Linked DNA regions of Lepisosteus oculatus. The main gene of each other region encodes a partner of the protein of the gene in region 3 in a complex. Links are inferred from orthologs where the notes say so. Each region holds a gene or a part of one and is shown on either strand. Other genes may lie near its edges. The genes, in order: cipca, bmal1b and clocka.

The links.
Region 1: the proteins of clocka (region 3) and cipca are in contact, whole or in part, in a crystal structure (PDB 5VJI), measured with the Mus musculus proteins. The link is inferred for Lepisosteus oculatus from reciprocal best matches to the Homo sapiens genes CLOCK and CIPC. Residues at the interface, in NP_001276755.1 of Mus musculus: Gln519, Leu526, Lys527, Leu530, Arg533, Ile537, Asn540, Ile541, Arg543, Gln544, Glu547, Leu548, Ile551, Gln554, Leu555, Val558; in XP_006515773.1 of Mus musculus: Asn401, Thr402, Val405, Leu406, Ser409, Leu411, Ile414, Thr415, Thr418, Leu421, Ile422, Asn425, Thr428, Gln429, Leu432, Leu435, Lys436, Thr439, Gln440, Phe442, Ile443, Thr446.
Region 2: the proteins of clocka (region 3) and bmal1b are in contact, whole or in part, in a crystal structure (PDB 4F3L), measured with the Mus musculus proteins. The link is inferred for Lepisosteus oculatus from reciprocal best matches to the Homo sapiens genes CLOCK and BMAL1. Residues at the interface, in NP_001276755.1 of Mus musculus: Arg46, Gln49, Phe50, Leu53, Ile54, Glu56, Leu57, Met60, Leu61, Pro62, Lys70, Ser71, Leu74, Gln75, Ser77, Ile78, Phe80, Leu81, Arg82, His84, Lys85, Thr88, Glu95, Ile96, Gln98, Asp99, Trp100, Pro102, Phe104, Leu105; in XP_030097882.1 of Mus musculus: Lys70, Met71, Phe74, Ile75, Glu77, Leu78, Ser80, Leu81, Val82, Asp93, Leu95, Leu98, Arg99, Ala101, Val102, His104, Met105, Lys106, Leu108, Arg109, Gly110, Ala118, Tyr120, Lys121, Pro122, Phe124, Leu125, Asp127, Asp128, Glu129.

What each region holds. Positions count from the first base shown.
Region 1 is NC_090703.1:9,789,882-9,800,467, reverse strand, and holds the start of cipca (CLOCK-interacting pacemaker a), read left to right. Parts: upstream 1-6,665; 5' UTR 6,666-6,789; exon of another isoform or gene 6,790-6,839; intron 6,840-6,891; exon of another isoform or gene 6,892-7,002; intron 7,003-7,316; exon of another isoform or gene 7,317-7,655; intron 7,656-7,907; exon of another isoform or gene 7,908-8,062; intron 8,063-8,145; 5' UTR 8,146-8,202; coding exon 8,203-8,335; intron 8,336-9,630; coding exon 9,631-9,803; intron 9,804-10,191; coding exon 10,192-10,586. Other genes in the region: pgfb (placenta growth factor), read left to right, coding at 216-245, 404-466, 1,686-1,707.
Region 2 is NC_090716.1:8,949,815-8,959,541, forward strand, and holds the start of bmal1b (basic helix-loop-helix ARNT like 1b), read left to right. Parts: upstream 1-4,805; 5' UTR 4,806-4,994; intron 4,995-9,727. Other genes in the region: TBC1 domain family member 10A, read right to left, coding at 1-185, 1,014-1,121, 1,627-1,714, 2,361-2,494. UniProt on the Homo sapiens protein: Transcriptional activator which forms a core component of the circadian clock.
Region 3 is NC_090696.1:77,752,931-77,762,567, forward strand, and holds the start of clocka (circadian locomoter output cycles protein kaput), read left to right. Parts: upstream 1-4,745; 5' UTR 4,746-4,916; intron 4,917-9,637. UniProt on the Homo sapiens protein: Transcriptional activator which forms a core component of the circadian clock.

The DNA.
Region 1 (10,586 bases), on a different chromosome or scaffold from region 3:
TACCTTTCACCAATAGAAGGGTTACATTCCTAAATTTCAAGTTCATATTGCCATCGCAAAATCTACAGTGCCTCCTTAGACACTCATTTTCAGTGTAACATATGTTGCTTAATAACATTTGTTTCTTTTGCTGTTTTATGTTCCCTTTCAGTAACAAGAATATAAATCACAATAATCTGAGTTATTAAAAGCATATGTTCTGTTCTTGTCCCCAGACTCAGGAAGATCACTGTAAGAAATGAAAGGTATTATTATTATTATTATTATTATTATTATTATTATTAATTATTATTATTATTATTACTAGAGGCAGTATTGAGGTTATTTCACTCTTCTGCTGCCAGTGTTTTGTAAAAGGTGACATAACAGGCCCTTGTATTTTTGTGCTCTTGCTTTCCTTCAGGAGGAGACAGAGGGGGAAGGGAAGGAAAAGAAAGGAAAAGCAGAAATCGAAAGACTGCGACACGTAAGTTCATGCTCACGTGAAACCTGAAACTGCAGTCCCTGCCGTCCTGGCCCACAGCATCAGTCCAGCCTAGTGACGGGGGCCTGAACCCTGTCCCTCATGCTTCAGGAGAGCATGATGCTGAAGCACAAATATCACCGTGACAGAGGGGTAGCTCAGAACATCAAATTGCGATTATTTCTTGGCCTTTTGCATCCTGCAGATGTGATTATGAGTGTCCATTTTGTCCATGTGTGGTCAGGCACTGCTATCAAATAATGTCTCAAATTGCTCAACCTACATGATTGACATTTAGGAGTAGTGTTTTTGCTAGGTAGTGCCAAGTGACTACTTAGATGATCCCTTGGCACTGTAAGACTACAAGTTTCCCTTTGCTCTGCATTAATTTCACTTTGGGATGGATCAGTCTGGCCCCCCTAATTTCCCCCTTTAATTCATTAAGTGAAGCCAGTTCCCCCTTCTCTGCTCTGTGTTGTTAAAAGTGCTAATGCGAAATGGCGGCCACACTTCACTCAGATGTGAGCAACAATTCAGTGGTGGATGGGGCAGATCCCCTCCTATTTGTAAAGCAGATTCAGGGTCTTTTGGGATGAAGAGCTTTATACAAATGCAAGGAAATGTTTTTAAAGCACTGTAACACATCGCACCCTTGACTGGTAGCATGGTAGGGCAATCTGCACATAAACTGTCTCTAATATAGAGGAGACTAGATGGCAAACTATAATGTAGCCTTCCCACCCTAACGGAAGTCCCAAAGAAGGCTCATCTAGGGCCCTCCTTTTCACCAACAGCTAACATGGCTAAGACCGGGGCTGTTGGAGAGGCTGACATGTCCCTTCCAAGCCAGCAGATCGAGGTGGCGATCTGTTAAAGGCACTTAAAGGCATGAGGCTGTGCTTCTGCTATCAGACAGACACAAGGTTTTACACTACCATCTCCACATTTTATTTGATGTATTTTAGGAATAAATAAAACTGAAACAGTGGCATAGCACTGTACAAATGGTGCCATTTGTAACAAAGCACAGCGCATTGAGATAAGCAGAGGTGCAGTAAGGCACGACACTGATTGTGGGGAAACGTTGGCACACTATTGCATTGACACTTTCAAACCAGAGGACAGAAGCTGGACACCTGGTGATGTTACTGGTGAGGGGACTTCCTTTGGCTTTGTCATTCGCCTGACCGACTTCCTCTTGTCCTCCTGTCTCCCCCAACAGGTGTCAGCCTCCTCGCAGGTAACCGAACGGCAGCCGCTGTCGTCACTGTATTTATTTCTTTTCTCCAGTCAGACTTAACAACATTGGCAGTCTTTTATGCACTTTTGGGATACTGCGTGCTCTTCGTCTGGGCTTGAGCGACCCGCAGTGACGGGCGGGACTCTCAGGAGCAAGGCAGTCAGAGGGTCAGCCAGGCCAGCCGAGACCTGAAAGAGAAACCCTGGCATCACCTGGCAGGACAGGTGGGCAGGGAAACTTCGCCATGAAGGACAAAGGCTCAAGGTTAAAGACTCAACTTGGAGGACTCGCGTTTTCTTTTTTTTTTCTTACGACACAAGTATTTATTACAATGAATAGAGGCAGTAGACACCAATTACAAAACTCCTGCTATTGTAATCCACGTTCTGTACCGAGCCTTTTCCTGGACACAAGAAGAAAGATAGTGTTCAATCGGGTCCAACGTCCGGGACTGCGAGAATATGACCCCACTAACTCAGCTTCAGAGCGTGGCTGGTCCTGCCGCCATCATCCCTTCAACGCTATTGTCTGACTCCCTGTTAAAGTGGAGGTTTGTCACATACCCTTTCCCCTGCAGTCACAGATTTCTTTTTTTTAAAAATCTGTTAAACTGAGCCACTGCGTAGAAAACCTCTCCGGAACAGCAGGAGCAGACAGAACAAAGACAGTGTAGAATGAGATGCTGAAAAGAAAAGAAAAAACACCGACTAATTTTATATAAGAAAACAAACAAATGACTGTTTCGGAATTAGCACACATATGGCCCGAACTATGAAATGTTACTAAGCCACTCGGCAAATAGTCATTAAAAAGCTTTTCCGGTGAGATAAAGTTCGTTCTGAGGTTGTAATTGATTTCACGTGGTATTTCCACAGCTACAATAGGTGGCAGTCTCCATCTAGTGGTAACCACGTATTATAGCATCAAGTATTAAACTCTCTTTTGGACACTTCATTACTTGATCTTTGGTCAAAATAAGCCATATAGCTCGCCTAATGTATCATTTCGACTTTTTGGATCTTCCTTAATCTACAATATTATTTAAAGATCGATTGCAAAAGATCCTAGCAAGATCATGCTTTGAAATTCATTTCCTCCAGGTCCGTGAGTTCATATGTGGGGGAGATCGAGTGGGGTTGCGTTAAAAACGGTTATCATTGCAGAACCACTATAGAACTTTCTTTCTTGTTTATGTATGAGGGTTTTGTAAACTGGTGCATGACTTACTAGTGGCACCACAATGCACAATCAATCATAAAAGAAACAATAGCTGAGAAATCCAAGACAAGATAATGAAATGTCCCAGGAATAAAATAGTTTTCTTGGCACTGGATGCTGACGTTTAGAAAAGAGAACAGCAATCTGTCTAAACATATATTCCAAAAATGAGAACATTGTTGCCTGTGAGAAACCTCACTGTTATGTTTCAAAACATCCACAAAGTCTTGTGTTACACACTTGGCCAAAACAGAGGAACACCCAAGTCCAGTATCGCTTATGGCTCAAATGATGTTCGCCAGCACTACTGGATCATCACGAATGATAACACTGAGTAATGACAAAGGTGATTAAAATTAATGTAAAGCCTATCCAAGACCATTCCCAAAGAAGATTCAGGCAATCTGAATTGGGGAGGCCAGATCAACTGCTAATTATTTTGCACAATAAGCGGATATTTTTCTAAACGCAAAGGTAGAACGTCATACACATAGAATATGCAGAAAGTAAAAAGTGAAACGAAAGGGGAGTCTGGAACACTCTCAACATTCCTTATGAGGATTTTTGACATGTATTATTTTTTCAGTATATAAGGAGAGGATGAGCGCTTAACTGACTAAATTAACATTCCTTGTGTTTGAAATGCTTCCATTTTTGTCACATGGGCAAAACCAATTTTGATGACGAAGGTTGCCACAGTACGTAACAGCTCACTACACGTTCACCGTTACGGAAGTGACGTCATCTACCCAGATAAATAGACGATGTATGATTCTCTTGCGGAAGAAAACCCGGTGTCGTGACGCAGTGGAGATCGGCGCTGCCTGATTTTGATGGAACGTGTAGCAATCCCAGCAGGGTTAGAGCAGATCTTCACCGGCCACACGGAGCTGGGCGATTTTCGAGGTGTCATCCCTCCTCCCTAACGAGATAATGGTGACATCTGTGTTGTGGTCTGTTCTCAGCTCGTTTCACCCCAGCCAGGCAGATTTCGACAAGTTCCTACCAGGGATCGCAAGCTGCAGATACAGCTAAACCTTCAGCACTGTTGATATGCAGTACAGAGACCTTCCATTTTGTACTGCGATCACTTGAATCAAACAAGTAAAAGGCTTATATCACTTCACCTCCTTTGTTTTTAATTTAATTCAATCAGGGAGGGTGCGGTGTGCAGTGAAAGAGGAGCAAGCTGTGTGAAAGACTGTAAGAGTCTAAAGTACTGGACTCATTATTTAGTCTGTGCTTTAATAAGAAAACATGCACCGACAACAGCAAGGATTCATTTTTATTGTATTCTCTTCTTACAACAAACAAAATCACAGTTGTTTTTGGAAAGCATCCTCTAATAATTCTGTTGTGAGATTTCTTTACTGGAATTATTGACACCTTTGTATCTGTTCTTTTTGACAATTTGAAGGGACTTGCCAAAGCAGTGGATTATTAGAAAAATATTGGTATTTTCTAATAATGCAAATAAAATGTTATAATGCTTTAAACAACCAGTAAATCATTAAATTTACCTTTTTATTTTATTAATAAGAGTCTACCACAGCAGGCAGAAACACCAATACCAAGATTGATGTAAAACCACATACTGTATGCTTTGTCACATTAAAAAGGATGGTATTGAAATCTAATTTCTATTGTAAATAAAAGCAATGCAGGATCAGTCTGTGTTTATACTGTACATTGTATATATAAATGTATTACTGTTAATAAATAATACATTATATTTAACCCAATGAGTGTTCAAATCCTTGTCAGTACAAAGATAATATAGAAATGTGTGCTCATATAACTGAAAATAAAAGGGGGTAGCCCGTGGGTTATCTGTGTTTTTATTTCAGATTTCCTTAATCTTTCCACATTATATCACATATACATTATATATATGTTACTTATATAAAGCCCTGGTCAAGACATTGGAAACATTTTAAATCACAAATTCAGGCAAATACTGTATGTGCATTAATTTCCAATAACCACCTAGTTCAATACAGAGATGTGGTCACCAGAGCCCACCACTCAGGGCCTAAAGTAAACTCATAATCAATAACAGAACCTGACCATACTTGAACTTCCTGACACTTCTGGTTAAGTCTCGCTCAGTGTTATTCAGTGGTGGGTGAGATGGGTCCCCTGTCCGCTATATTAAGAGTTGTGATTAGAAACGCGCTATAGATATTTGAATTCAAAGCTTGCATCCTCAGTGGCTCTTCATCTTCATGACTTTGCATTTAGCTATACACATCTCTCCCAATCTGCTGCAGAAAAGATATAGTGTATTTCAGGCTTGATCATTCTAAAGCAGCACTTATGGGTGTAAAGGAACAAGTAATAGGTTTATTCCGTGCTGAAAATGCTCCTTTGCAGCCTACGCATGCTGACGCAGCTACCCACCTGAACTACTTATGGGTTTATCCAAACATGCTCATAAAAAGTTGGAACATGTTCACAACTCAGTGTCTGGGACTTTAACCAAAAGTAAAATTCATGAGCATGAACTGGACCACCTGGTTAGGTTCCTTGCACTGGTTCCCTGTTGATCTCAGAACCAGATTCAAAATACTGAAGCTCACTTTCACGAGCTTAAATAGAACACCTTCTAATAATTGCAGCAAACTGTTAATTCCCTACACACTAGCACATTTGTTGGACTCTGGGTTTCTTTCAGTTCCTAAAACCTAACTCCAGACTCTGGGAGAATGGGGTTTCCATTCGTATGCTCCAGGACAGTCCACATGAGATCTCCCCAGGCATTCAGCACTTTCAAAAATCACATTTATACTCTAGCTTTTCATTCTGTTTAATTTAATTTGTACATGCCTGTTTCTCTTGTTAGATTGTTTTATCGAAAAGCAATCGAAGATTGCTTATAAAATTAAGGTTGTTATTATTATAATGTAAATGTATCTGATTGTCAAATGTTTAGTGGCTAAATCTGAGAGATTACTAGATTACTTTCCCTTGGAATGGGAGTTTAGTGATACCTACTCTGTATATATGACACCAGTAATACCATGTACTTGGCATGAAAGTCTCTGAAAAGGTCAAGCTAATAGACAATAATTACAGCGAGAAAATCTAAAGTTCAAAGCTTTGTTCCCAGTTAACTTTTAACTTTTCTGTTCTAAAAGTAATTTGAATGAAAAGGCATTCCCCTCTTCACATTTTCTTTTAAGTAAGAACCTGTGTTTTTGAGGCTATGTTGCTTTTGCTCATTTTGTTATGAAACCTTTAATTGTGTGTCATTTTTTAAAAACATATATATATATTTTACTCTACTTGTACAGAGCCAACTGTCCACCAAACAAAAAATGCAACAGAACAAATCTGCCTAGGGTTAAAACCACTGGAAATATGCAAAGCTGAAGCTACAGTTCTCAGAAAGAAACTTTCACGGGGGTCTCTCTATTTCTTTAGCATGACTCATAAATACAACTCACTCTTCTTGGAAGAACTTCATCCAGGCTTCCGAAGCCCACAGGAAGACTTGCTCAAGGGAGGATAAGTTTTTTAATTTGTAATTTTTTTTTTACTTCACAAGTACTGTGTGGATATGCTTTCATTATCATTCTTGGACTTCTGTCAGAGTTGAATGCCTGTTGTACAAGTCATAAACTTTTTTTATGGGTCACGTTTCTGGGCTCAATGCCATTACCGAACTCCAATTAGAGGGCCGTAAAAGGACAATGGGCGGGATTTTCCGCCGCAAAATACAGTGACGTCACGAACGCTCCCCTGGCAACGCTTGCTGGATCCCGCCGTAAACGAACTCATGGAGTCGTAAACAAAACAGAAAAGAAGGAGTCTATAGCTTGTTATCGTCGTGATGCTGTGTTTTCTTCAGCAGCGTTTTGAAGAAAAGGTGTTTATTTTTTAACCTGTTAACGTTTTTAAGCGAGCTGCCGACAGTGAGTAAGTAGGCGATGACCTTTACCTATCTATGCGGGACTTTGTGTATCCGGAGGGATGTGGTGTTGGTCGCGTGTCGTGCGTCGTGTATCAGGAACTATGTCACAGGCCAGCAAGCTACAGTCACAGCTCGGGCTGCAAGAAATCTAGATAAGGCAAATCTTGGGTTAGTTTCTGCCGTGCCGAAACGATTGGAATCTGTGCAAGGAGCAAGCAGACTCCCTTGAATAGGACGTTAAACAAATGCAGAAAACATTTGACTCTTCTACAGTCTTCGCGTGTCTATCGTATTGCGATAATATTTTGGTTCTTGCATCGCTGGGATGTATGTACGTGCAGTGTATTCGTCAACGTGGGACGTAATTTTATTTTACAAAGGGTTTAATATGCCGCTGCGAGAGTCGGATGGCAACATGCATAAGTGCGATTATTTTTACTTATTGTGTAAATTGTGATTTGATGAACGAAATGCATTCTCGTTTTTGTACAGTCAGTGCTGAGTGAAACGGCCTTTAGTGTGGCCGGCTTTTACACTTCTCGGAACCGAATCATTTTCCACTTTCATACTAGCTACGTCATAAATGCTATCTTAAAATTAAACTGCTTGTCGGTCTATGAGAAAACGAAGAACACATTACTATTTATATTGGTTTTTTTCGCTGTGGCCACAGCTGAAGATATTTAGTTCAAAGAAGATCGTAAGAGAGAAATACTTTATTCTTTATTCAGTCTGCCCCAGTTTCCGAGATGTTTGGTTTTTGTCTCTGGTGCAGTTTGCTACTGACGTCACTGTTGGCCTTTGTGAATTCATTAGCTTTGGTATGTAAGGAGGAATGCTTTCTGTTCAGTGCTGTAATGCGTTGTGTCTGGTGAAGTTGTATAACTAACTATGATTAACAGCATCACATAATTGCCTTTTCTCTTAAAAATTAGGATGAGATAATAGAGAAACGTACGTGTTTCTTGGTACAGCACATTGAATGAAAGATCTGGAGAATTATACTTATTCTGCTTTTCCCAAACTCTTCAGATCTACTGCACGGCATTAAAACATTGTTTCCCCATTCATAGGCTTCTGCATGCAGGGGATGATTTACAGACTTCAAGGCTGAACTCGACAAGTTACTGTGCTACACTGGACGTCTTTCCTTGGGGCTCCCAATTAAAGTTTGTCAGGATAAGACGCACGGCTAGCACACAAGACCGAGGACGTGTTTTGTAAGGATGTAAGAGACATTACGCCTGCTGCTGACACAGGTCTGCTTGCGATGCTTCCCTGCTGATGTTCGCCCCTGTCTTTGGTCCACAGACAGTCCCCCGAGTGAGAGAGATGCTCCTTGGCTGAACGCAGAGAGCCCGATCAGCCATGAGTAACAGAGGGAAAGCAGAAAGCCACAGGAGGCTGTCAGCGGGGCTGCATGCTGACATGATGGACACGCTGAAAAACCTGCAGCCAGACAAGGGGAGGAATGAGTCGGAGCGGGACTCGGGATTCTCAGGTGTGTGCCTACTCATGGCTGTTGTTCCTGTCACAATCCCTTCACATCTGTGAATGTGCATGGCACGAAATAAATGTGGGTTCTGTGCTGGAAAGTGGGGACAAAAAGCATCATCCAGGTGGGGCTGCACATTGGTGGTAGTGGAGGGGATCCCCATTACCTGTAAAGCGCTTTGAGTGATGTGCCCAGAAAAGTGCTATGTAAGTGTAAGCAATTATTATTATTATTATTATTATTATTACTATTATTATTATGAGAGGAAAAGAGAGCAGGAATGTGGGCTCAAGGATGGAGGGGGCTAAAGAAAACACAAGAGTTGGTAGGAGGGGGAGAAAGAGAGGCACAGAAATCCAGGAGAGGCGAGGAAGGCAGGAATGGATAAAACAGAGCGATACAGCTCATTTTATGGGGATGCTGGTATCATCTGGTTTTTGTTCCACCTCCGTTCTCACTTGCATAGTTGCCTGATTATTTCGTCAGCTGCATCATTTGTAACACTTCTAGCCAGGCTCCCAGGTGATATCTGTGTAACTGTACCCTTGTATGGTGTAATCAGCTGTCAAAACACCTTATGAATAATATTATCCTCTTAATTTAGAAAAGCGGGTTAATTGTCTGATTGTTCCTACTGAGAATGGAACAAAAGCCAGAAGAGACCAGACTCTCCTGAATTTGAAGTCCTGGTGTAAAGGAGAGGAGAGAAAGGTAGAGGTTAGGTGGTTGGTGACGGCTGGGACATTGTGCAATTCCAGCTTAGGGTTAACCATAGACTCAGACATCCCTTTTCCTCATATTTCTGCTGTCTCCTCAGCCAAAACCTTTTTCCTTCTATTTTTTTTGGTTGTCATTGTCGAGTTAATCACACCTTGTTCCTCTGCAGCTCACATGCTGATACAGCTCCCCACTCAAATGCCCTGCACAGGAGGCAGGACTGCTCCAGATCAAATCTAATCTGTGCCAAATGGCCAGACTCCTTTTCTTTGTGTCAGCTTGTTTTAGCTTATATTATGGTTTCGTTTTTGTGTTAACGTCTGCTTCAAATGAAGCCGCTATCATGATACAGTGTCTTGTATTACTTTGAAGTGTACTTTTTTTAAAAATGCTGGTTTGGACCAACCAGGCAGGAGTTGAAAGAATGCTGACAGTGTTCCACTGGTTGGTCCTCTCCTCTTCTAAGTTGACTGCTGCAGTAGATGGTAATGCCTTCTGATAGGAACTTTGCCTTATTTAATATAGTTGTTTTACCTGCCCTCAGCTCGCAGCGCTGACTGACCTGCCATATGTTTGACTCCCAGATGCTAGTTCTGAGTATCTGAGTGCGGTGGAGCAGACAGATGCTGAGGATGGACAGAAAACCTCAGCCCAGAGCATCAAGTCTAAATCTCAGCTGCCACAGCTGGCAGTGATGGGGGGAGGTTACCCTGGCCTTTCTCCCATGATCATCATGAACAACGTCCTTCTGAAACAGGTGCAGAGGAGCTCCCTGTTTGGCTCTTTCAGAGTTTATAATCTGTACCGTCATTAACTTGGCAGTGATATAGATTTATTGCTGTTTGTGTGTCCGATGTCTGTGTAACACAAGATGATCACTCCTTTGATCGCTCCTTTGAATCATCCATTTTAATGATTCAAAGGAGCATAACCTGTTATGTGAGTGTGATTTCTCTTTCCTAATTTTCCTAACTAATTTCCATCATCTGATTGGAGAAATCATCAGTCTTTTTGCATTGTGCACAGTTCAACAGGGAGGGTTAGTGGTAGTGCCCAAAATATCTTTAGGTTTAGTAAATATATTTTTTTTATGTAATCTGCATGTTAAAAATAGCTAAATGATTGCTACATTTGTCTGGTTTCAGGCAAGTAATTGCCCCCCTGCTGTGAAGCCCTGGGGCTTTCAACCAGCTATAGAAGTGATTCCCCAGCCTCAGGTTGTGTTCCTCCAGCCTGTCATTTCTAACGGTATCACAAACACGCAGAAGGGACCCCAGGACAAGAGGCGCCGATCGCAGAAGTACCTGCCCATCCTGAAATCCTACCCCAAAATAGCCCCTCACCCTGGGGAGAGCTCCTCAGAGAGGAGTGCTTCTGGCTCTTCAGAGCGGAGTGGTTCGGCCTCCGCCCGTGTGGACAGAGCCAGCGCACTCAGACACCGGCGGCACAGCAGGGAGAAACAGCTGAGTCGGCTGTCCAGCACAGCCAGTCCCACGCCATCCGGCCTCCCTCTGCCGCTGACGCCCGAGCCCAGCACTCG
Region 2 (9,727 bases), on a different chromosome or scaffold from region 3:
AGGTCAAGAGCCACTTGTCTGAAGATGACAACATCACTGTTGGTGAACTCGCAACTGGGATTAGGACCATCTTCTGTGCATCTCATTTCATTCTCCGTTTCACTCAAAATGGTGATTGCAGAACGGATACTATACTCCGTCACACCAAGGTCAACGAGAGGCCTTCGAATTTCTTTGAGACAGTTCTAAAGAAAAATGCAGAAATTATTGTTAAAATTGTGTAGCAGATGTCTTTCATGAATTCTCTGGATTCTATGCAACTGATTATAAAAACTGACAAACAGAAACCCCTTTGTTACCTCTGACAATTTGGCATTATAGTGGTGTACAGTTCATTATGAGTTTAAGTTACCTGATAATGAAGTTCACTCATCATGTTTTAGCATTGAAAGAATGATAGGTTGTTAAAATGTCAAAGATATGGTTCCAGGTGTTACAGACACCACTTTTTGGTGCCAGTTAATATGAATCAGTGCAAAAAAAAAAACCTTTTACTCAAACTCAATGCATAAAAATAATTTATGATCTGAAAGAATACTGAATTGGATTATCCTAGTTTCAAGTGCACACTTATGTGAAAATGCAATGGGTATCTTTAAACCTAATGCCTTCAGATCTCAGACTTCAACTATGGTTTGACCTAGTAATTGTTTGGATAGATCACCTCAAGGAAGTAGGCAGGGATTACTGGGAAGCTAAGCAGAGTAATTTATAGTTGTAGCTAATGTGTCATCATATTACCTGGAGAGGCAGGCAGGCAAAAAAACTTGTAAAGAAAAATTAATCTCAATCTCTACTACAATTCAGAAAAATTAAAAAGAGAGAGAGAATGTCATCCACTCTTGCTAAACAAGATTCCAATTGCCCCTCAGCACTGGTAATCAAGCAAACTGTGGAGTACCTTTGTTAACAAATTCTGCATGTTCACTGAACTAAAGAAATAGGCCAAATAATAAAAAAAGTGTAATAAAAAAAATCCCAGGAAAATGTGAAAACTGCAAAAGGCACAGTACCTGATAATTGAAAGGACTGCCACCTTTCACTGACTCAACATCCAGAAGAGACTTCCATGCACGCCCGCGTAACTCAGGTGGAAGCCCTATTTTAATAAATTGCTCAATCTGAAATAAACACCCAAAGCACAATATCAGATTTTATGTACATATATGCAAAAAATACAAAAATAAAAACTCAATAAAAGAGCTTTAATAATAATAATAATAATAATAATAATAATAATAATAATAATATTTTTAAACTATTCTGCTATTTACCAAAAAAAACACATTACAACTTTGAGTATGCCACTGGGGATAATTAAAAATGGAATTTTAATTTCACATTGCAGCCTTCCATTTAACTTACAACATGTTTCAGTAAAAACGGAATTATCCTGGTTAACATACATTTCTGTACATGGCAAAAGAGATGGGAATTCTGGAGAAATATTAAATAAAGGCAGTGGTCCCAGAAGACATCTCAGAATACGGGATGAGCAAGCACCTGCGAGCCTCACTGCACATCTGACTTACAGTAGGTCTGTACTTTCAACAGCTCTATGTGCTGTCAGTCAAGACCAGATCCTTCTCTGTGATCATAGAGTTTAACTTTACAGCACCAAGCTACCTGGTTCTTGCAGATGAAACTCGAACCATTCCAGTAGCTGAGCAAATGACACAATTCCTTCACCTTCACAGCATTTGGTCTGGGGTAGCTATTAAAATGGAATGAACAAAGTTAAACACCAAGCGATGAAAAAGCAATGCATAAGCAATGAAAATGTAAAATGAGGAATTTGTAAGGAGGCAAAAACATTATATATGTTAAACCGACCAGGAAACTATTGACCTTGTGGTGATTTCTATGTATTACCTAACAGTATTTTAATACTCCACTCAAAAGAATGCAATTTTACATATATATATACACATTTACCTATTCTCAACCCAGTCAAACTCTCGGGAATATTACTTTTAACATGAACTGCGGCGTCTCTCTTCCAAGAAGGTAATTCAAAATATTTCGTATTATTAAGGGGGGGCTGACTTAGTATTTATAATTTTTTATACCAAGCCATTAACAGAAGATTAAGAAACACGTGGGGCTATTATAAATAGTAAGGGCATGCTGTCATTAAAACATTCAAAATGACGCATTATAACTATAGCAGTTTGCTGTAAAAAATGTCCCCGTGATGTCTCTCGTTTCTCTTTTAGCAATGGCAAATTGTTTTACTTTAGCGACACGTTTCCCATAAATATTTTGAAGATAATGGATACACTGTGTGTGGTATAAAAATCACCACCCTTAAACTAGACTTGTGCAGTTGCACTAGCAAGATAAAGTAGTCTGAGCATTACCTGTATTCGTGACATCTGCCTGGCGATATTTTCACATCTTTTCTACCTAACACAGCGAAACCAAATTCGTCAAACCCCAAAACCACATTACGCCTTCGTGGCGACTTTCCGTGACTGCTCTTTCTCCGCGACATGATAGCAAAAAAAAAAAAGTGGTTTCTCAAAATCAAAGAAGGCAGTAACAAAACAACAAGTAACAACTGTAAACTGTAACTCTGTTTCAAATCAGACGCCGCTTCCCAGTTTCCGATCCGCCCCTTAACTGACAAACACGTAGACCAATGGGAAGTCAGAGCTGAAACTCTGAAACCAATCAACTACAACTAAAAGCGTTGCTTCGCTAATGAGTTTGATTTCTATTTAAACCATAATGCGCAGCAGGTGCAAGCATTTAATCTACTTTAAATCTACTTTGAGTGGAAACTGAGACCTTGCTTGACCTTTGCAAGTTTCTTTCTAAGAAAGTTGGAGGTCTTAAATTACCGATGAAATGTTATAGCTAAAAGGCAACCTCAAACGTGTTTACGAGCAATTGTAGGAGTCCAAATAATCCTATTATTAGGTTCAGTTAGCGGTTCGATTATATAATTGACAGCATGAAACCAAAGCCAGCAGCAATAGGACCCCTCCCCCAGCCCAGAACAATTACTTTTCCATAAGGGGATCCTGGGATGAGAAATGAAGAAGAATCAATGGCTCACATCAAGGAGCCCAGCTATAAAAACCGATGGACCAACAAAACTATGATCGAAGACCAGGGCCAATACATTCCTAATCAGATCTCCGCTTGCAGCCCATATCAGTTTCTCATCAGCGGTGGCCAGGCTGAGTGGCACAAGGACACGCTTCTGAGAGAATGGCGCGGGCTTCTGTGGAAATCTGCTTGAAAGAGGCAAACCCACCATACAGGAAACTGCAGTGGATAAAGACACGGACGATTTCTGCTGTTCTTTCCACCCGAGTCATTAACTGCCTAATTCAACTCTTTATTGATTTAATTGGACACGTTGAAGACTTCCCTTGTTGTTCAGAAGCTGGAGATGTAAAGTACCTATAAACCTTGTTGGCCAGCTGCCTTTGAGGACCGCAGATGGACACCTCTGGTGTGAAGACTGATTAAGAAGATCTCTCTTACAGCTCCCAAAGGAAATGGCAGTATACTGTGTAGGAGACGCACATAAGACGAGGGGTTTTCATTTTATTACTATAATAAAGCATGAGGTCACAGGGCGCAGCTTTGGGCTAGTTTACCAGTGTAAGAAAATAGTTATATAGTAAAGACAGATGACATGTCGTTGAAGTAACGATATCATCCATCTTCAGCGTCACAGACGTTTATCATAGTCGTTTAAAAGGTGTGCTCTACATCACCGTAATTCTGACTCTAAACACAAAACAGATAAGGTTTTTTTTTTCAATATGTGTATTAAAAAGAACATCAACGGATTTGAAATAGGTGTGGTGGTTCAGTCTTCACTAAATAAAATTGATTTTTCCACAATTGGTATACAATTATTTCGGAAGATGATTTCAGACTGAACTGACAAATTAAGGCTGTAATTCGGGAGAGAGTGCGTATGTGTAGTTATGCCTTCTAAAATGCATTTATATTGGAGGTAAAATATGAGTAAAATTCAAAAGAGGCATAGTTTTGATGTAATTTTTTTGTAATGGATATTATTATATTTTACTTAATCGTGGCAACACTACTCTTGAGTCAGAGTGACCATGTATATAAAAAAACTCCAACAGGTGGCGCATTTTGCTTTTGGTTTCAGCGCCGTCCATGATCTGAATCCCATTCTTTAGTTTACGATGTCCATTTCCTGTTACAATCATATCTTGTGCTGGGTATCCTTTAACCTGGTGTGTGTGCTTGGCAACTATAATGTAAGAAACTATATTGTAAAAGACATCAATATACAATGTCTTGATGCAGAAGACATCAACGCATATAAAAAAAAAAGCCTTCTTTGAAGACAGATGCCTTGGGTGCTGTATTTTGCGAACACTGCGCGTAATTTGTAAGGCACGATGCGCCACACCGAGCTGTCAACTACGCTGCTCAGACTCTCTCTTCTTGAAATTCACACGGGTCAGTGAAATGGGTGGGTTTAAAGATCAAAGTCTACTTCTTGGCTCCAACGGTGTGAAGCTGTGACTACAGCCAAGGCAACCATCCGACTCAAGCCGTGCAACTTTATGGCCGCACAGGGCGCCTGAGTAATCGGGTGCCACGGTCGCGCACGGCTCCGAAGTCGTGGATACATTTCCTCCTTCAGCGCTCGGTGATTCACCATTTTTCCAAGTCGGCGGCAGGCTTCCTTCCTCCTTCGCTTTCCTAAGCCTCCTCCTATTGGCCGTGTCTCTCCGAGATTGCGCGCCCGTGGCGTGGAGCGCAACGCGAAATGCTCCTTTGTTTTATCCGGCCCTGCGAGATTGGCCAGGCGCTGCCCCAGCCCGGCGCGATTGGCTGCGAGGACTATGCAGGCCGCTCCAAAGACATAATTGGTTGAAAAGTAGGTTAGTGGTGCGACGACAGTTACAGAAGGGAGAAAGTAGGTCACAGACTGCTGCTGTTTATCACCGTCCATGTTACCCTGTATTTAAATGTGCTTATTTAACTTTCATCACGTAAGTACAATGCACAGTATTTTACGGCTTGGTTCTCTATATTGATAAGGAGAGATCGCAGACATAAAAGCAGGTAACACTGTAATGTAACGTGTTGTTCCGAATCAGGATATATTGCCGATTTCGGGAGGAGGGGCAATCCTTATGTATATATAACTTTAAAGGCGTAGGATGTGCTTTCATATCGCGAAGGATAAAGTCTGTTTTCGTTTACAGTGGCCTCAAGAAATCGGGGTTTTGCTTCACATTTCTCATGTGCCAAACTGAATATGGATAGTGTTTTGTAAAAAAAAAAATAACGTGTATACATCTATACGACTGCTTGTTATTTAAGATTTTCTTCAGAAAACGCGTGCGTTTCCTTTAAATACGGTACATCGCACGGGCGCGTTGATAGGGTTTTTATTGGGGTCAAATGTTGCACACATTCAGATACTCGGAGGTGGTGTGAAAAAATGCCTTATTTCACATCTAAGCATGTAATGTGTAGCTAGTTGGTTTCGTAGCTGTCAACAGGCAAACTGACAGCTGTCAGTGTTCACGGAGGCGATTCTGTAGGGGCTATTACCGTACTTGGGAATTTGTCATTTCCCCCAGGACATTGGCCTCCTTTCATCTTCTAACTACCTGTTACATTGTTGCGAGGTAGGATTGTTCTGTTCACTAGCTCTTTTAGGCCTACCAACACTCTTATTGCCTTACACGGAAATAATTAACGAGAGGTTGCATTTCCAGCAAGAAACCGTCAGCTGATTTCTGCAATTTAAAACAATATCAGATTGTTGGTTATTGTTAGTTTGGGTCTGGCTGCCTGTTTTGTGCTTGTAGATGAGAAAAAAAATGGAATCGTTTCACCCTCGTTGTAGGTGTCCTTGTATTTAATATTCCGGCGATTCCGGAAGATAAGGAGTTAAAGGGCTCTTTTAGTCAGCTAGCTTGGGACTCCTAAGAAATTAATTCCAAGGAAACAGTTTGTGATTCCTCCTGCGTTACGTTTTTATAATTGCCTATATTTGTTGAACTTATGCACAATTAAGCTGATCTTTGGCCACCAGAGTCAGGAATTTACTGACCGGGATTGTACAGATAGCCTGCTCATTATTGTCGTGTCTAATTTCTGCTCATTTATTTCTTCTCCGTGTCTGGCTAGTATTACGCATGAGAATATTTAACTGTTCAGCTTCTGATGTTTGGGAGCTTCTTTCTTCTGTAGTGCCATGTAATAGTATACTTATGTATCGCAGTTTGGCTGTTTATATATAATAATACTACTGTAAGTATAATAATACTACCTTTAATAGTCGTTGCAAAGTTCCAGTGGAGTCCTTATCCATATGGAAAGTACTGTACTGTTTGAAGCACCACTGTTGTTATAAAAGTGCTTGCACTGTACATGGAAACCATTTTAATCAATTTTAAAATTGCTATTTTATTTCAATCGCATATGACAATAGAAATCTGCGTGAAATTTCACGGGAAGAATTTATAGCAAAACATCGTATTACGAAGAGATAGGAAATATATTTCTGTGGATTTGTAGAGAGCAAGCTCAGAGACCGTTACCTGTGTTTCAGGGAAGAAAAAATAATATTTATTGACGTACACCCCTCATAAGGTAAATAATAACACAGCTATTCAGTCAGTGCCGGTGTTCCCAAGTCAGAAAGAACTAAAGAACATACAGTTCCATTCAAAGTGATTGCTCTTACAACAACACAACTATTGTAGAGCCTGTTCTTGTATGAAACCTGTTTACATAACCAGTGTGATTATATAGGTCTGAACTGTATTACTGTGCATTCCAGATACCTTTGGTCTGTTAAGGATTTAAGTTACTTTATGCAGTACTTTCTTCAATTAAAGATGGATCACAAATCAGTCAGTCAGTTTTGATTATGAAAAGTTTGAGTGATACACGCACAGTTGTAGCCACCTTTCAACTGAAATTAATTTCTCTCACTCCAGGTGAATTGGCTCGATGCTGTATTTCATAAATTTTTCGGACACGAAGCAGACCTCGGCTGGTTTCCATTTGTACAGTATCACCCGGAATTATCTTTTGCAGGGCACTTCCAAGTGTGGTAGTTGGACATTTAATAAGAAGACACCAAAATAGCAGGCTCAGTAGTTATACGCTGCAGTGCCTCTCTTGGGGGAAAGAGAAAGAAGGAAATGACTTTAAAATGATAAGGATGATAAAAATATTTTCTAAACAAAGTCCATTCAACTATATCAGCACCAACACACACTCCCGCTGGACCTGAGTTCACAGTCTGGGTCCTTTTGACCCCATTGTATACTGGTTTGTTTTTCCAGCAGATCGCTTTATTGTTTAATTCTTGGTGCCGAACTCGACTTTACTGGCTTCCCTGCAGTTAGCGCACACTGGCAGTTCTTCTCTTGCACCTCTTTTTGGAAACATAGTAATTCCTGGAATTAATCGAATTTCTCTTTGCACATCTACACTCATTCAACATTCAATTACTTGACACATACTGGAAAGTCACCATTAAAGCGCTCCATTTGTTCAGTTAAAGTAACTGAAATTCCAATATAAATGGTAAACAAGCAGACACGCAGGTTACCATCACTAGGATTGGGGCACCCTGTAATGTTCAGATGATATTTAGCCCTATGAAACGTCTAATGTTTTATAGGAAATGCTTTCCATCCTTGTCATTGCTTAAAATGCTAGGTGAGTGTCAAATATTCGACTGTGCTGAAATGTCAATTAAGCTAATCTGAAAAGACAACATAGATGTTCACATGTCCAAGGTAGGATAGGGGCTATTTAAAACAAAACATTGTGATGAGCATTGGTTGAGTCAATAACAATCCAATAGCATTTTTTATTCTTTTCTGTAGAATGAATGTCATGGAAAACATGACCTACTGTAGTTGGATGTTTACTGTCACTGAAACATAACTGTGTTACACTGATTTTTTTTCCCCTTCCATTTTGGACCATAAGGTGTTTTGCTGTGTATCTCCAATATTGTGTATTGTGCTTTATGATCTTCATATACTTAACTGTACTGTACAGTTAAGATCTATCTTAATAGTTAATGGTTCTACACAGGCATGCTAATCCTCTCTTAAAAAGCTACGTAATTGCTTAAATATTTAAATATGAAGGAGTAAATTATTTCATACCCCTGTTTTTGTGCAATTTATAGTAGCTTTATATCCATAAAATTGAAATGTTACATACAGCGCTTTTCTTGTGGGTGAAATTACTGGAAGATTTCTCCTGAGTTCATTTAGTTTAAAGTTCAAGTGAACTTGACTTATTTTTAATATCAAATTTGTCAAAGATTTCTGTAACGTAAAGCATGTTATGTGGTGCTTATCAACTGTAATAACAGTCTGCAAAAGCTACTGGTTACGTATTGCTCTGTTATGATGTATTTGCTTAGCACATGTCCCTACCCTTATCGTGTTACTGTACGTTTTTCCTGTATCAGAGCAAATGGATTGGGTACATTGGTTTCAGTATTTCTATAGAAAGAGATACAGTTCCATATATAGCAGGCTATATGTGTCTCGGGAAATGCATTGTCATTCAGCAGTGTATCCATTATGTGTGTAGTCAGCTTACTGCGACAGTGTAGTACACTGAGCCAGCTGGCTTTTCGAAGGCCATTGAAAATGTAAGACATTTGCAGCTTACTCGCCAAAGCAAGCTGGTTTAACCATTTTTATTAATTCAGTTAAGCTTTATGCTCTTCTGCCATGAACACCTTTTAAAGCGTTAACTTATAACAGACTGCATTATGTGCAGGCTCAAGGTATTTGTCTTTGTTCCAGTTTACCTGACACCAGTGACACTATAGTGTAAGAGTATGTACTGTATATACTGTTGGGTTCAATCTCAATAACAGCAACAGCTGCCTTTCCAATTGCTTCCTATTGCACTACCATTAACTAAAGTCAGGGCATTCTGTTAAAGAGGTTAATCTGACCCTTTCCTTGAAAATGAATATTTCAAAGAAGTGTTTCAAAGGGGTGAAATGGAGACTTATTGTACACCGAAGAGTACTTTAAAATGTAAATGACATTATTGTAAACTAGGATGTCTGATCAGATGCCTTGTTTACAGTCTCTAAATATGTTATCATTGTGTTAGTTTGCAACAGAGTTTATTTTAGGGTTAGTTTCTTGATCACTTACACATAACCTTACTATAGTGTATTGTTCTTGACTACAGTAGAACAAAGCATTTTACCAGTGAGATAAAATAAGCCTTGGTGCAATATTAGAATTGCACCTGATGCTTAGACATAAGGGGATTGTTTTTATTTTCCATTTCTAGGGCTGTCCAGCTGTTTTTGCCTTTTCTGCTCTCCTGGTTTTAAATTCATCAGCTGTTAAACGATTCTGCTCGACTGCTGCAGCTCTTGTAACAACGAGCGGGAGGTGAGGACTGCGTAAGCATTCCTCTAAAACGTGCTGTTGTCAGAGCCATCTGCCATTTGTCATGCTTGCTGCAGAAGATTGAGCGTTGGTTGGAGTAGTGATGTGGCCCTCGCTGACAGCACTGCCATCTCACCAACACATGGCAAGTCACAGAATGCACAGATGTCAAGAATGTCCTGACTGGTTTCAGCTTGCCAATCGTGGCAGTACTTAACCTACTATGCGCTGTCATATGTAGCATCCTGGTCAATCACTCCACCCAGACTCGAGACTGCAGCGGTACACTGTAGGCTTGGACTTGTGCCCCTCAGACTGGG
Region 3 (9,637 bases):
AATGATGATATCATGTATCTCTGTCCAATGGCAAGGGTAAAGTGGTCTTGCTGGAAAATGAGTGGTTCTCTCATCATTACAGGGTTAAAAAATTAAAACTGCACTTTCCTAAAGAAAGGCTGCTTTGAAAAGGCTTGTAGCTGGACAGACACGTGCTTTGTCATTAATCTGTGACATACGATGCCAGGGAAAAGCTTTTGAAGGTTTAGTGTCAACAACATCTATTAAGGCTGTGTAACAGCAGGCGGTATACAGTATTGTAATACTGCTCCAGGTTACTGGGGCTGTTTCCCTCTGTGATTCCTGCGTGATTCCTGTATGATTCCCTTTGTGATTCCTTGTGCGAGTCCTGTGATTCCCTGAGTGAATCCCTCTGTGATTCCGTGTGATTCCGTGATTCCTGCATGATTCCTGCATGATTCCTGTGTGATTCCCTGTGTGATTCCTTGTGTGATTCCCTGTGTGATTCCATGTGATTCCTTGTGTGAGTCCTGTGATTCCCTAAGTGATTCCGTGTGATTCCCAGTGCGATTCCTGTGATTCTCTTGTGATTTCTGTGCAATTCCGTGTGATTCCATTTGATTCCCTGCGTGATTCCTATGCGATTCCCAGTGCAATGCCCTGCGTGAATCCTGAGCGATGCCTGTGTGATTTTTCTGTGATTATTGTGTGTATAATTTACATAATTATTATATTAATTATATGATTCCCTAATGTTATTTCCTGTGTGATTATATTATGAAATATTCCATTCTATTTTTTATTTTTTCTCTTTTGTTACTGAATGATCCCAATGTATTTGGCCATTATCACCAGGTGTCTAGAATATCGTTCTCTTTCTCTCGTATGTGGAGCGCATCACATACTGCAGTCTGTACATGGGTGTCTCAGACATTCCTCATGTCTGCTCTTTTTATTCAGTGCTTTTCCTTCTTCATGCAGAAAGAAGGTAACAATTGTTCTGTGATCTTCTACTGAAATATGAAATATTGCTGAAATAGTAGTCATGTTTTTTCAAGCTTGCAGTACACCCTGATGGATCTGTATTTTGTAGCATGAAAAGCAGCCATTTAGCTGCGTGGATATTTCGTTTTATGGCAGCGCAGGACAGAATGATTGAGGTTGATGATGAGGAACGCCTGTCAATGAGTCAATTAGATTTGACAGGTAAGTGTGATGGATTGGCTATTAAAACACTTCACTGCCTACCTGTGTCTGGTTTACCTCGAGACCAGGTCTCTGCAGACTCTGATAAGCGTGAATTAAAGACGACTGAGGGGCGGGCCTCGAGCTTCGTCACTCGAAGCGAGATGTATCAGAGACAGTGGAAGGCGAAGTGACCGTGGGGAGGCTTTGAAGACTGTGAACTGTGAGCTGGTTACAGGGAGGATCTCATGCTGTGTGATGGAGGCCACATGTGCCCAGCGTAACCTGGCACTGAGTCGGCTGCTAATCGCAGGACTGTGATGACATCACCCGGGCTTCACAAACCCCCCCGCGGCTGTCCCAGGCCAGAGCCCGAACTCGAAGGCAGCAGCGGGAGACGAGGCTGCTCGACCCTGCTGCGCTCTGAAAGCCCCTCCTCTGCTGTCCAGAGCCAGGCCCTCCTGCAGTCCGGGAGCCAGGTGCAGGAGGGATGACAGCACAGCCGCACCGAGCCGCCATCACCGCCCAACCAGCCACCTGTGCTGAGCCCCGGCGCCCCTCCTCTGCACCGCCCCCACCCTGGGCTCCCTCAGTCTGACTGGGGTTCCAGTGTCCTCGTGCTCTCGCCAGGCAGACAGAGCCAAACGCCTCACCGAGTAAACCAAACACTCGCAAAGCATCCCGTCCTTGAGTGTTGTTGCCCCTAGAGAAATGTATTATTATAACGTTTGATCTGAAGTATTAATGAAATTAATATTGAAATTAAATATTAATAATATAATTGAATTCAAAATATTTAAATTAATTAGACTCTAGAGATACACAGTGATGTACTTGTTTGTCCTAGTTAGTTCTTCACATTCACAGAGACCTTAACAAAGAAACAAATCAGTTCTTTGGCCACAGCAATGTAATTATTAAATCCACCTATTCCTCATGCTAGTATGATATGTATGCAAAGTAAGGCATGAGAATCTTATTACAGCTCCAACAGGTGTCTGTTCCTTAGCATGTGGGCGGTAGCTATGAACATTTAAAAAAATATACCAAACCCCGACTGAAGGAAATAACTTTAAAATACGATTTCGACCTGTCTGATTATATAGTTTAACTTTAGAAAAGGTTTGCATGAAATTAAGGAAGACTCCTTTCTTGCGACTCAAAGCTATTTTTCAGAGGTAGCTGCAGAATCTCATCTGAGAGAAAGGAAATTAAAATATTATGTCTAAACCTTCAGGGTACCTAAACTGGGACAGGGGGGTCATGAAAATCAAAGTTCGCCTTTACTGGCACAGAATATGAAGTAAAAGGTGTACAGTAGCTTAATAAAGCACCCACTCAGAAGCTTGTGGTTCAGGTCCCACTGTTAAAGAAGTTTTAAAACAGAACAAAGCGTGGAAAACGATCGCGAAGGGATTCGTGGTTCTGAATCCCTCAAACGTGTTTGTTGGTGATTTTAAAGACCGAAGTCCGAGGAGACGGAGATAATTCACGTGCTTTCCAAATCTTGGTCATCGAGACAAAATGCGGAGAAATGACGATTATATGATGATGATGATGATGATGATGATAAGAGTGAGTGAACATTTCTTCACGTAATTAGCAAAGGGTTCACAGCCCCCTAGGGACACAAAAGCAAGCAATTTTTATTTCACCGGAATGGAAATCAGAGAACGTGTTCCAGGCTCGTCCGGGGAGGAAGGCTCACGGCACAGGACAGCTGTCCAGCCCGCCGCTCCGCCTTCGTGCAGAACAGAGAACTCCGGGCGGACCTACAGTATTTGACCAAACACTCCCAGACCGTAGGGTTATTGGACGAGCTGACCACGGCGGCTGACCCCGCCCCCCTGCCCGCACAGTCAAGTTCGGTTGCGCGGCGCGTCTGACCTGATTGGCGTGACGCCAGCCCGGCGAGCGGCGCGGGGAGGCCGGGCCGTGACACGCGCTCGGGGGCGGGGCCTGCGGCTCGCGAAGCGCTGTTCTTCTTTTAAGGGGGGTGGACGTGTAGTGTTCAGGCTGTCTTTAATAACACCCGAATTACAAAACAACAAGTTCTACACATTGCATTTCGCACTACAGGAGGGTCGTTAGCAGGGTTTAAGTGGCGGCTCTGTGGCTCAGGATCTGCTCCTGTGGCTGGAAGGTTGCCGGTTCAAATCCCGCAGCCGGCAGAGGAATCCTACTCTGTTGGGCCCCTGAGCAAGGCCCTTAACCCCAGCTGCTCCAGGGGTGCCGTATGAATGGCTGACCCTGCGCTCTGACCCCCAGCTTCTCTCCCCGTCTGTGTGTCTCATGGAGAGCAAGCAGGGGTATGCGAAAAAACAAATTCCTAATATGAGAAATTGTATATGGCCACTAAAGTGATCTTATTTAAGATCAGGGAAGAATTGTAAGCTAACAACAACAACAACAGCGACATAATAATAAACTTTGTTTTTATATAGTGCCTTTAAACGACGTGGCTTATCAAAGTGCTTTACAGAACAACAACAAAAAACAATGAGAGGAGACAGTGGATGTTAAATAAAAGCCTCGAAACACTTTTCAGTCCAGATGTGAAAGAGCTCAGGGCACGTGACTCTCTGAGATCCCTGGGGATGGAGTTCCAGAGTTGTGGAGCGCAGCAGGAGAGGACCCTGTTACCCCTAGAGTGTAGACGGGCTTGGGGGACAGACGGGAGACCAGTCTAGAGGAGTGAAGGCAGTGAGGTGGGGAGTACGGTGATAATAAGAGCTCAGACAGGTACTGAGGTGCCGAGCCATGCAGAGCCTTGTAGGTGAGCAGGAGGATTTTGACGTCGACACAGAACCTGACAGGAAGCCAGTGCAGGGACTCCAGGACAGGAGTAATGTGATCACTCGCACTAGACCTGGGCAGGATTCTGGCTGCCGAATTCTGGACATACTGGAGTTTGTTCGGTGTGGATTTAGACACCCCAGCGAGGAGAATGTTACCCCAGTCAAGACGAGAACAAAACCAGAGCTGTTGCCCAGCTTGTCATCAACAGTTAGTGATAACACAGGACACAGCCTGGCAATATTTCTGAGGTGAACGAATGATATTTTGACAACATGTTACACATGTGGGTCAGATGTCAAGCCTGGATTAAATATCACACCCACGTTCTTCAATTTTGATTGAAACTCAAGTACAGTACCATCCACAGATAGGGTTACAGCACTGGCTTTATGTAGCCAGACTTCAGTCTTGTCGCAGGTCAGATGAAGGAAAGTGTGAGTCATCCACGTTTTTTAATGTCAGAGATGCAATTAAGCAGAGCAGAGACTGTAGATCTGAGTATCGTCAGCATAGAAATGAAAATTTAGACCGTGCAATCCGAGGTTCAATGAGCATCGTAGTTGATTGGAATATTTTTAGCAACTACAGCATTGCACAAAGCCAATAACTTGCTTTGTGGGTGTCTTGTGTCAGGGGGGTGTACCATTGTGGTGCGTATGAATCCCACATTCTTGTCTTTTACTGTACCAGAAGGCTACACAGCGACAAACCCAGAAACCCCCCCCCCGCCGGCGGAACTCCTTACGCGCCCACGTGAAGGGATTGCCCGTGCACGCGCTTCGAGAGGGGCGGGCGCCTCCCAGCGCTCGCCCGCGCTGCGCGCTCCCGGCGCCGGCGCGCATGCGCTCCGCGGAGCCCCAGGCAGGCCTGCTGTTTGTGTGACTCCGGCTCAGCCCGGCGCGGCCATCTGAACCAAAACAACAAGCAGGAGGGGAGAGCCGGAGAGCCGCGGAGCCGCGGAGCGCAAGCGGGTAAGGCGGCCGGTCCGAGGCGGGGGGGCGCGGGCCGCTGCGGGGCGGGAGGGCAGGTGGTGGGGGGGGCCGCCGGGGCTGCTCGGGCAGCGGGGGGCGCCGGGGCCTGGTGACCCACATTCGTGCTGCCGAGCGAGGGGGCTGGCTGCGCGGCGGCCCGGCGCGGAGACGAGCCGGCTGGGTTTTGGACCACATTTTGTTTGGTTGTCGTGGTGGTGTTGTCCCTCCCCCCGATTCTCCTTTTCCGTACCCCCCCTTAACGCTACACTCCCCTGCCCCCCCCGCCGCAGCCCGACCCGCCGGGAGCCGGGGCTGAGTGCTGTCAGGGGCTGCTCTGCGCACACACGGCCGCCGCTCCCGCCTCCTCCGTTTTTATAACACGGGGGGGCGGCCGGCTGTGCACCTGTGACCCTCGCCTGTCCGCGTATTTATTTCTCCTCCCGGCGCGCCGGGTGCCAGTCGGGGGTGGTGTGACTGTGCCACCTGTGGCTGGGCTCGAACCCGAGTGCGCTGGGCTGGGGTGGGTGTGTGCGGCTTGGGTGCCTTCCCTGTTGGAATGCCGGACGGGCAGCGTTTCGCCCGGCCTGTCGTCGGATGGGAGCCGTGCCCCCCCCCCCTGGTGTCGTGAGTCCTGACCTCGTCCTGATCCCGGGGCCGGTTTGAGCTCCTGCGGAGGTCAGTCTCTTCGCACGGAAGGGGGCAGGAACTGGCCAGCGGGGAATGGGGGTCAGTAGGTCGGGTTTCACCTGCGCGAGTGGACCGCAGCCGTACTGGGCCAGAGGCGAGGTCAACGTCAGATCGGTCACAGATGGGCAGTTTTCAGCCCCCCCCACCAAAAGAACGTCTAGTTTTTTTTTGTTTTTCCATTCTAGTTGCATTCCTGGAGATAAAAAGGCCCCTCTTTGCTCGCCTCTTGTTTGCGTTTGCTGAACGCATCAGCATCAGCATTAGCCTGTGGTGCTCTTGGCGTCAGGAGGAGGGGTGTCTTATCCAGCGGAAGGCTTTCGCTGTGTCTCGGTGGTCGACCACCTTCTGGCACGAGCATCCTAGCAGGAATTATACTTCTTTAACGGGGCATGGTAATTTAAGTCTTCGTGTGTGCACCTACTCGAGTGTTCAGACTGCTAAGGCAAGAAATAGAGGAAAATTTGATCATTTTGCCTCCCTTAAGATGAAATAGCTGGTGATGGCTCTCATCAATGATGAGAATAATAATATTTAAGTGTGTTTTCCAGAAAAGCACTATATAAAGCACGTTACAGGTAATGGGGATCCCCTCCACCACCAGTGTGCAGCCCCACCTGGATGATGTGACAGCAGCCAGAGTGCACCAGTATGCTCACCACACACCAGCTCTCACTGGGGAGGTGAAGAGAGGGTTTGAGGCCAGTTCAGAGATGGGGATTATGAGGAGGCTGTGATGGGTAAAGGCCAGAGGGAGAATTTGGCCTGGACGCCGGGGTTACACCCCTACTCTTTTCGAGAAACGCCCTGGGATTTTTAATGACCACATAGAGTCAGGACCTCAGTTTTACGTCTCATCCGAAGGACGGCACCTCTTTACAATACAGTGTCTCCATCACTATACTGGGGCATTAGGACCAACACAGACTGCAGGGTAAGCGCCCCCTGCTGGCCCCACTAACACCTCTTCCAGCAGCAGCCTCAGCTCTCCCAGGAGTCTCCCCTCCAGGTCCTGACCAGGCTCACACTGCTGGGCTCCAGTGGGCGGCCAGCTGGAAGCTTCAGGGGGATACAGCTACTGGGGTGGTGGTGGGGTCAGGCATGGCCTCAGTTTGAGGGGTGCAGGGTGCAGCAGATGGACCAGAGATTGTCAGGTACCCCCGGGTCAAGTCCTATGACCCGCATCACGCTGAGGGTGACATTTCAAGGGCAGCTGCAGTCCTGATTTCTCAGACCGCTTATTAAGTCTCGGTTACGTCATTGAAAATACGTTCACAGTCGTTCTAGAAAAAAAATGACAACTTCCGAATTAAACACAAAATCATGGACTTTCTGAAAGTACTGTAAATCGCCATGTTGTCTCAAACTCTTGTGGCCGTTCCTGCTCGCTGCTCACTGTGATGACTGATTCACTGTGATGCACAAGCGAATAAGTACTGTTTGTGCAGCAGACACTTCACTGCAGAGATGTTCCAACGTGATCTGCATGCAGAGTTAACAAATAAGTAGTATTTGTCGGCAAAACCGTCTGGAAGTCAAGAGCAGTATTTCTGTTGGATTAAAGAGACGTATTCACAAGCCTGTTTGATTACAATGTCATAGGTCTGCTATCACCGGAAGTTTTGTTGCCTTGTTTTGAATCTCAGGACGTGGCACTGTGCCGAAATTTTGTCTAGTTTGTGATGTAAACTCGAGATTTTACAAGTTACTGTGTACATTTTAATTTCATTGCAGCTTGAAATACACTCATCAACGCAGATTCTTTCTAACCCCGAAGAATGAAAATAGCTGTTCCCCTTTAAGGCCTCTAAATGCCTTAAAACTAGCTTTACAAGGTTATGTCAGTGGACACAAAAACATGTTTGTGTCACGCTGACTGAAATATTCAGAGTAGCACCAATACCGAAGTGCTCAGATCCAGTGCCGTGTCCAATGTAAATAAAGCATGAATATCCCCCGGTTTGGTGTATATTTGGGATGCCATCTGTCCTCTGTGTTGAATACACAGCCTTAGGGGACAGTTCACAGGGCCACTTGATCTGTGACCCCAGTGTGACACTCACAAGGAGCTGCTGACAGCAGTTTGAGATGACAGGAGCGATCAGTGTGATAAGAAGCTGGTGCCTCCTTCTGGGCTGCTCCAGGCGAATGATTGGTGGGTGGCTCCACAGGGGGCGGGCCTGTAGGCGGGGCTCCTCAAGGCAGCCTCTGCTTTGCCCCGCCCTCCCTCGGCATCCTGGTGCGGGTGTGCAGGGTACAGCACTGGAGCAGGGTCTCGCCGGCCCTGTCCAGGAGCGGCACGGAACCGCGGGCTTCCAGGGGTCCTGGCCATCTGCGGAAATCCAGCCTACTGGGCTGCATCTGTGTAGCCTGAGGTCATGACGAGTGGGATTCGGACATGGAGATGGGCCCTGGGTGGGGTGTCAGGCTGTCGTGCATGCTGGGACGGGTTGGATGGGGGAGCACTGCCCCAGCTGGAGGATGAGAAGAGCAAGACAGTCAGACACAGAACTGCGCTGCTGCGGCCCGGTCTTCTCTGGCACAGGTCTTAGTCTGGACAGAAACTGCAGCTGGGCGCAGGTGGGTGAGAAATTAAAAGCTTTCAACACGGACCTCAGTGTTCACCTCTGGCCTTGGACCTTACCCAGTAAAATAGTAAAATTATCCATTGTAAAAAGTTGAAAAGCATTGCCATTGGGTTAGTTATGTCATATACTCAGGCACCTCAGCTGGAATATGGGACTGCACATTGTTCGTGGATCGATTCTTTAGCATTTATCTGCAGTGTCGTGTGTTGTTTTGTGTCCCCGCCCAGCCTGGAATGGCCACCTGTAGGCCTGGCCCACTGGTAATCACCTTCACCAGTTGAGCCTCTCAGAATATTAGTTGGCTTCCGCAGAAAAATCAAATTAAATGTATATGTACAATATCTATACAATATCTATTATAATGACTTTTGAAGCATGTTTAAACTCACTTTATTTTGGTTTATTTCCTCAAACCGGGATTTTTCCGATGCCCCAGACTGGTTAGTTGTCACGTGAGTTTGCCCTATATTCTGGTCCGAAAGTGTTTCTGCTGTTCTGAGGGCAGTGGATCTCGGCACAGTCAGTCCTGAAACACGATGTTCATCTGTTGCTGTTGCGCCAGTAATCAGATCATTTTTACTGTGTTGTCCCTTTATGTTATAACCGAGGAGGGAAATAGAAAGCAATGATCATGGTTCAGAAAGTCCAGACATTCAGGCAAAGATAAAAAAAATAAATGCATTTTTCCTGTTAGCGGGGAAAAAAAAAAACTTTTCTGGAATGTAAACCTTGCCAAATAGTGGTTGCTCTAATGCCATGGCCAGTCATGAGCCTGTGCTAAACTCTACTCGGTCACAGAGCTGCATCAGAGCCTGTAGTTGAGAAGCAAGCAGCAGGACTCTCTAGTCAAGCTTGACCAGAGTGGGGTAGTCTGGGTGTCTGTGGGCGAGAGTGGGGCAGTCTGGGTGTCTGTGGGCGAGAGTGGAGCAGTCTGGGTGTCTGTGGGCGAGAGTGGGGCAGTCTGGGTTTTCTGTGGGCGAGAGTGGGGCAGTCTGGGTTTTCTGTGGGTGCGAGTGGGGCAGTCTGGGTGTCTGTGGGTGCGAGTGGGGCAGTCTGGGTGTCTGTGGGTGAGAGTGGGGCAGTCTGGGTGTTGTACATGAGCAACACGTCAGATGTCAGCAGAACATGCTTAGCTTCTCTTCGTCTGTCCTATCCCTTATCCCTTCTGTCCTCTCTTCTCGTGGAAAATAACTTTTAAGGTTGTGTAGCATCTTCCTCCCTTTTGCTTTTGGCTTCTCGTTCGTTTTTGAGCAGCTTTTCCCCTCTCGTCCTGGACTCGCCACTGGACTGGTTGTGGGTTCGAGTCCCGGGCACCGCACTGCTGTGGTGCCCCTGAGCAAAGCGCTTCACCCTTCGAAATACCTGGCTGGCCCATGGGGTGCAAACGTCAAGCCGCCCGTTAAAGAAGCATCAGTAACTCGTGGTACGCTCGCACCTGCTCCAGGGTTC